Linked DNA regions of Oryctolagus cuniculus. The protein of the gene in region 1 interacts with the protein of each later gene in a biochemical or structural test. Links are inferred from orthologs where the notes say so. Each region holds a gene or a part of one and is shown on either strand. Other genes may lie near its edges. The genes, in order: ATF3 and JUND.

Region 1 (3,803 bases):
TGTACTGGGGTGGGGGGAGGGGGTAAGCTGTGAGTCCATGAATTCACGGAAGCCACCGAAGAACTGTGGAACCCCATAAACGCAGACTCAGGTTAGGGCACCCAGTGAACATACAGAGCGGCGTCCACAGAAGCGTGCGAGGGGAGGGCGAGGAAGACCCCAGAGACGTCCGCTATGCTTCGTCGGCTTGTTTGTGTTACCGCGGTGCCTGCAGCTCCTCCCACCAATCCTGATCCTTCTCATCACTCTTACTTAGGCTCGCATCTCCAGGTCACGCAGGCGGTGGAGGCGGTATGGGCTGCGTACAGGGAGTCCCAGGCGGGCACTGCCTGCCCGCTCTCCTCCCGAAACTTGAAGAGCGATAAGAATCTCGCTGGAGAAGTCGGGCCACCCCCCTCCCCGCCCCGACTTGAATGAAACTTAGTATCCAAGGACAACAAAAACTACTTCTACCTGCTCTCCTCCCCTCTTTTCCCCAGGAAAACTGTGAAATCAGCGCCCGCCGACCTGGAGGGAGACTGAAAGGGCAGGAGAAGGGAAGAGCACCCGCAGTCGGTGCCACGGCGGCAGCGGGGGGCGGGGAGGATGACCCGTATGTGAGCCTCGTGCGTCCTCGCTCCTGACTTGATGCCCACAGTGTGCAGGGTCACACCCTCATCACACGCACAGGCTGTGCCGTGCCGGTGGGAGGCAAGGGAAGCGCCCCGCTCCAAAACCCCTTGTCTCCACAAAGGCGAGCAACGTCTCTCCCGCCTCGGATAGGTCCTGGTTAGGGTTATGTTAGGGGTTAATCTTCAGCGAAGGAGACTTGATTACTGCAGAGGTTTTCCCTGGAGAGCCGCCTGGGGATTCCACAATTCAGATCAGCCTTGGTTTGTTTTTGCTGAGTGAGATAAGAACTGGAGACTTCATGCTGGGGCTTGTGCAAAAGGAAGGGAGAAAAAAATTAAAAGGAGACGGGAAGGAACGAAGCAGCTAAAAACAGCCCACTCGTGGCAACCAGAGCTAAACACAAAACATTGCAGGGAGCCAAAAGCAAGAAAAGGAAAGAAAAAGTTCAAGAGATATTTAAAGGTCTTAGCAGTTTCTTGGTTCAGCGCACGGTCCCTTCCCACATTCCTCTCCCTCATTCCTCTGTACTCCAGACTTCAAGACTGTGTTTGCTCACAGCGCTCCAGAAACACAAGTTAAACAGCAGGAAAAGTGGCAGTCCCGGCTGCCTGGCTCAGCACACTTCTTCACCTCCAAAGGGAGCGGGCTGGGTTTCTTTCTCCTCCATTGTATTTCTCAGTAGTCTTACTTTCCCCAAATTCAGTTTGAACCCGGGACTTTCTAAAGCAAGGGTCTGCAAAATGGGCAGCCTCTGGGCAGCCCAGTGAGCTCAGAAGGGTGAGAGGAGCTTTGGTTCTGGATGCAGTGTTGGGCAAGTAATTTCACTCTGCAGGCTGAAGTTCCCGCAACTGAAAAATGGCCTCCACGGTCGCACTCAGTGCAGAAGATTGCTGGCAAAGATCCCCTGAGGATGGGGCAGAGTTGGCCCTCTGTTGTGGCATCATTAGTTATAAAGCAGGGTGGGCTTCCTGGGGGTACTCTCTGAATCTCCCCCACAGCTCCCTGTCCCCTCCCATCAGGGGAAATAGCTGTGGGTGCAGTCAAGCCATGCCTAGGGTGACAGTCATGAGAGGGACAGGGAGAGGACCCCAGAGAGAAAACCGTGAGAGTAGTCCTCATTTTCCACCTGTAGCAGCTCCAGCACACCCCTGGGGCTTTCCCTGGTGCTGGGTGGTGGCCCTGCAAAGTACACTGGACTCTGAACAGAGTATGATGGTTTCGGTCTGGCACTGCCTATGGCATTCTGCAGGAAGACCCTCCCTTTCTGTGGCTCCCACCTTTTCTGAAGTGAGGGTCCCTGGGCTGAGCTCTGAGGGTCCTGAAGGCAGATCCTGTGCCACAGGCACCTTGTTGAGTCTCTGGTGACGTCCGTGCAGAGAGCTGGGGAGAAAGAAGGTGTCCAGGGGAGGTGTTAAATCACACAAAGCCAGACCCGGTCCCACAATTGCCTTTCCCCTCCAAAACCCAGAGTCAGAAATGTTGTCCGACCTGATTCTCAGCCAGACTGTGCCCTCCCCCTCAACATCTCCCAGGAGTTTTACACACAAGGACTTGGTGCCTTGCCACAGAGGAGGGATTACATCTTTGGGGACAGCTTGTGTGTAGCCCTCTGTCAACTACCATGGACACCCACCTTGGAGCACAGGGACCAGCCCCAAGTAGCAGCTGTCCCCACGTAAGAGAATGGATCCTGGGGCATCTGGAGGATTAGCAGGGCGCAGGAGCCTTGGGCCCACCCCCAGGTTTACCTCTTGCCAGCAGAGTGGCTTCATGTAAATCATCAACCTTTTGTCTCAGTTTTCCAGTCTGTAAAATGGGACTACTTAACATCGACTCCCCCCACAGTGTTAGTATAGGAATCAAATGAGATAGCACTGGGGGTCTTCAAAAAGCCCATAAAAAATGTGTGTTATGAAAAAACTGTGCATGTATTTCAAAATTTTTTTACAATGCAATAAGCTTATCTTTTAATTCTATTTCCCACAAACTTTTTTGGAAATACTTGTAAATACAAAAGTGATTTTAAATAATTTTTTTCTATTTTATTTTATTATTATTATTATTATTTTCAACAGGCGGAGTAGACAATGAGAGAGAGAGAGAGACAGAGAGAAAGGTCTTCCTTTGCCGTTGGTTCACCCTCCAATGGCCGCCAAGGCCAGCACGCTACGGCCGGCGCACCGTGCTGATCCGATGGCAGGAGCCAGGTGCTTCTCCTGGTCTCCCATGGGGTGCAGGGCCCAAGCACTTGGGCCATCGTCCACTGCACTCCCTGGCCACAGCAGAGAGCTGGCCTGGAAGAGGGGCAACCGGGACAGAATCCGGTGCCCCGACCGGGACTAGAACCCGGTGTGCCGGCGCCGCAAGGTGGAGGATTAGCCTAGTGAGCCACGGCTCCGGCTAAATAATTTTTAAAATCATACTTTTAAATACTCCTTTAGAGGAAATTTTCATTTTTTGTTTAAAAATAATGCACTTTTCCATGAACTTTTTAAAAAATAGAACAACAGAGAGAGAGAGAGAGAGAGATATTTTCCATCTACTGGCTCATCCTCCAGATATCTACAACAGCTGGAGCTAGGGTAAGCTGAAGCCAGGAGCCTGAAACTCCATCCAGGTTTTCCATGCGGGCAGCAAGGATCCAAGCTCCCAAACCGTCACCTCCTAGAGTGTGTACCAGCAGGAAGCTGGATCTGAAATGGAGCAGCCAGGACCTGAACCAGACACTCTGAGGTGGGATGCAGGCATCCCAAATGTTGGCCTGACTGCTGTGCCACAGTACCTTCCCCTAGAGGAAATTTTACTATAATTTTTTGCCAATGTCAAAATTTGGGGAACAGGCAAGAGGAAGCAATTACCCATATTTTCAACACTATTAGCATTTTGGTGTGCTTCATCCCAGTCTTTTTTTCTCGTGCATATGATTTTAAAATAGATTGTACATTACATGAAATTTTGGAATTTGTTCTTTTGCTTGGAATAGTCTGTGGTCTTTATTACTATAATTTTTCTTCTTAAAAATATGTCTTATTGTAAAATGTAGATTCATACAGATGATTACATAGAATATATATATGTGTGTGTGTGTGTATATATATATATATATATATGTTATAAGAATAGAAGACACGGCAAGAGCCCACCACCTAAGTTAAGAAATAGACCATCCCGTGCAGTGCTTAGCACCTCAC
Region 2 (3,820 bases), on another chromosome or scaffold:
CTCTGGCGACACCCGGGGGCGCACGGGGTTGGGGGAGACCCCATGCTTCCCGCGGTCGAGGGCCGGGGGCAGCTGGGGGGGGGCCTCCCTGCTGCACCTGCTGGCCGGGCGGGGTGGGGCCGTCACACCAAGACCGGGGGCGTCTCCCGGTCCCCGAGTGAGTCACAAGCCCGGGGCCCCACCCGCGAAGGCCGGGGAGGCTCCGTGGGCCCTCCAGCCGGCCGCGTGGCCACGCCTCCAGGCCCGGAGGCAGGCCCCCCACCCCGCCGCCTCCCCGCACCCCCGTTTGTCTTCCCTTGCCCCGCGGAACCCCCAAGCCCAGCCATCAGACTCCCTACCCTCTGGGCACCGGCTCCTAACCCCGGGGCTTCCCAGGCCAGGCCAGGCCAGACCAGGGTGGTCCCCCCATTGCACAGAGAGGGAAGCAGAGGCCCACGGCGCAAAGTTACCAAAAAATCAAATAAAATTGGCCTGTGCAGCTTCCCGGCCTCGGCCCGGGGCTGCCCCCGTCTACACCGCCTCCCGCCAGCCACCCCAACCCCGAGCCCTGCCGGCGGCCCGCCCACTGCCCCCTCCGCGGCGGGGGGCGGGGCGGCGGCCAGGCCCCGCCCCGCGGCGGGGGCGGGGGGCAAGGAGGAGGCGCGGAGCCGAGCTGGCGAACGGAGACTTTTACTGCAAACAGAACACGGGGCGGACCCAGGGAGAGCGACAGGAATGTGGGCTCGGAGCGGAACAACACACAACAAAACCAGGAAAAAAAAAAGGGCGGCGGGGGGGAAGGCGAGGGGAGGGGAGGGGAGGGGGCGGGGTCTTTTTTTTTTTCTTCTTCCCATTTCTTTAAAAAAAAAACCAACAAGGAAAACGCACGCACGCAACCGACGCTTGTTCCCGAGTAGAAACATAAATAGGGCGGAACCGCACACTCCGATCTCCTCGCTTCCAAAGGCAAAACAAAAAACCAAAAAAATAAAAGTAAAAGGAGCCGCATGCGCCCCTCGCCCGCGGCGCCGCGCACAGAGCGGCGGGGGGCAGGGGGGCGGCCCGAGGCAGCGCGGGCAGCGGGGGTCTTGCGCTCGGCCCCCGGGAGCAGGGGGTCCAGCTTGTCGAGTCCGGGGGGGGGCGGGGCGGGAGGGGGGCTCCGCTGGGAGAGGCGGGAGGGGGGCCGCGCCGTGGTCTCCGAGTCCGGGGCGCCCCCCCCTCCGTGGTCTCCGAGTCCGGGGCGCCCCCCCCTCCGTGGTCTCCGAGTCCGGGACGCCCCACCGTGGTCTCCGAGTCAGGGGCGCTCCCTCCGGGGACCGCGCCGTGGTACCGACTCCGGGGCGCCCCCCGGGCCTCCGCGCGCCCCCGCCGCTCCGCCCCGCGCGCGCGGGGGCCGCGCATGCGCCCGCCGCCGGCTCAGTACGCGGGCACCTGGTGCTGGGGCAGCAGCTGGCAGCCGCTGTTGACGTGGCTCAACACCTTCTGCTTGAGCTGCGCCACCTGCTCGCGCAGCAGGCTGGCCGTGGACGCCAGCTCCGTGTTCTGGCTCTTGAGCGTCTTCACCTTCTCCTCCAGGCGCGAGATGCGCTCCAGCTTGCGCTTGCGGCACTTGGAGGCGGCGATGCGGTTGCGCAGCCGCTTGCGCTCGGCCTTGATGCGCTCCTGCGTGTCCATGTCGATGGGCGACAGCGGCGGGCTCTCGCCGAAGCTCGGCACGTCCGGCACCGTCTGCGGTTCGTCCTTGAGCGCGGCCAGGCGCGGCGGCCCCAGCGCGCCCGGGGGTGGCGGGAACGGCTCGGCGGCGAAGGCGGCCCCCGCGCCCGCCGCGCCCCCGCCGCTCCCGCTGCCGCTGCCGCCGCCGCCGCCGCCGCCGCCCGCGTAGCTGCTCAGGTTCGCGTAGACGGGCGCCTCGGGCGCGGCGGGCGGCGGGGCCAGCTCGCCGGGGGGCGCGGCGGCCGCGGCAGTCCCCGAGGGCCCCCCGGCGGCGGCGGCGGCGGCAGCCACCGCGGCGGCCGCGCCCGCGCCCAGCTGGCTCCGCTTGTGCAAGTCCTCCAAGGCCTTGACGAAGCCCTCGGCGAACTCCTGCTCCTCGCTGGCCGCCACCTTGGGGTAGAGGAACTGCGCGCTGGTCGGCGTGGTGGTCACCAGCCCGTTGGACTGGATGAGCAGGCGCTCCAGTTCCGGCGAGGCCAGCTTGAGCAGCCCCAGGTCCGGCGAGGCCAGCAGCCCGTCGGGGGGCGCCGCGCCGGGCGCCGGCGGGGCCGCGGGCGCGGGCTTCAGCGCCGCCGCCACCTGCTCGCCCAGGCTCAGCGTCAGCGCGTCCTTCTTCAGCATGCCGCCGGCCGGCGGGGGCGCGCCGGGGAACGGGCGGCCCGGGGCCGCGAAGCCGCCGCCGCCGCCGCCCAGGCCGCTCAGCGCCTCGTCTCCGTAGAAGGGCGTTTCCATGCTCCGCCGCCCCGGGGAGGGGCAGTGGCCGCGGCCTCCCGGGGGGCCCGCGCGCTCGGCCCCCCGCGTGCGCTCGGCCCCGGCCGCGGCCGCTGCGCCCGGCCTTGCGCTGGCGGCGGCTCCCGCGCCGCGCCGCCCGGGCGCCCTCTTATAGCCTCGGCCCCGAGCGATGAGCTCACCGCCCCTGCTCGCCATTGGGCCAGGGCGACGTCCTCATTTGCATGCAGGGGCGGGGCCGCGCCCCGGCCGCCGTTGCCCCGGCGACGCGCGGTACAGCGCACAACAGCGCGCAGCCTTGTGGGTTGACGTCATGGGGGCGGGGCCGCGCGCCCGGGCTGGTTCCCCTCCCCCCGCCTCCGCCCGCCTGGCCGTCCGGGGACGGGGGGCAGGCGAGCTGGACGGACGGCCGCTGCCCCGGCGCCGCCTCCCGGGTGGCGTGATGGGCCCGCCCCAGGGCCCCGGCCCCGGCCCCAGGCCCCGCCCCGCGGACGCGCGTGGGCCCGGGCCGGGCGGGGGCGGCGCCGGCCTCCAGGGACCGCAGTGGGTGGGGGTCCGGCGCGGATAAATAAGTCCCTGGCGCCGCCCGCCCCGCTGCTCCGACGGTGCCGCCCGCCGCTGCTGTGCGCCGGGGACCTGGCGGCCCGGGGGAGGGCGCGGCGTCCCCATCAGGGCCTGGGGGGAGCCGAGGAGGGGGCCCCCCACCCCGGCCCCGCCCACGCGTTTAACCCTGGGTCTGCCCGGGCCTGAAGCGGCTCCCAGGGCGAAGCGGATGAGCAGGAGTCCCAGCTACTAATTATTGCCTGCCTGCAGGGCCCCCGTGGTGGCGAGGGCTTCATTAAGCCGGCTGGGTAGGCGTGGGAGGGAGAGGGGACAGAGGACCCCAGGGACGCTCCCCACCCGCCCTGAGCCGCGCTGGCCCCGGGAGGGAGCTCACTCCTTAGCCGGGCCGGGAGGCTGCCCCTGACCTCCTCTCACCCTCGCTGAACTTTGGCCACCCCTGGGCCTTTGCACGTGTTGTGTGTGCTGCCCAGTGGCCCTGCGCCCCGGAGTGTGTGTGGGGCGTGGGGGGACTTTGGGCGAGCTGTAGGTGGGTGGGGCCAGCCCCAGCCCTGTGCGCGTGGACCTTGGCCAGGGCGGGCACCCTCAGGGGCCTGTGTTCTCTCTGTGAACCTCAGTCTCCCCCTCCTGAAAGTGGACCGAGGACGACCTAGCAGGGGCTCGCTGGGAGCTCTCTCGGGTCACCACGGTGCAGCCCGCGCAGGAGAGGGCTGGGGGAGGCCAGGTGAGGTTCGCCCCCAGGGGCTTGGGCGAGAGGGCGGGCGCCTCTCCTCCCAGCAGCCTCATCAGCCCCCCAGGGGGGTGATGGGGACACGGGCCAGGCAGGAGCGACCCTGGC

What was found.
Region 2: the proteins of ATF3 (region 1) and JUND form a complex in vitro, tested with the Homo sapiens proteins (2 studies listed by BioGRID and IntAct, with this or other methods). The link is inferred for Oryctolagus cuniculus from reciprocal best matches to the Homo sapiens genes ATF3 and JUND.

The regions. Positions count from the first base shown.
Region 1 is NC_091444.1:27,071,306-27,075,108, reverse strand, and holds part of ATF3 (cyclic AMP-dependent transcription factor ATF-3), read right to left. Parts: intron 1,993-3,803; coding exon 1,890-1,992; intron 1-1,889.
Region 2 is NC_091447.1:65,581,524-65,585,343, forward strand, and holds JUND (transcription factor JunD), read right to left. Parts: upstream 2,560-3,820; 5' UTR 2,425-2,559; coding exon 1,396-2,424; 3' UTR 1,261-1,395; intron 1,198-1,260; 3' UTR 654-1,197; downstream 1-653. UniProt on the Homo sapiens protein: Transcription factor binding AP-1 sites.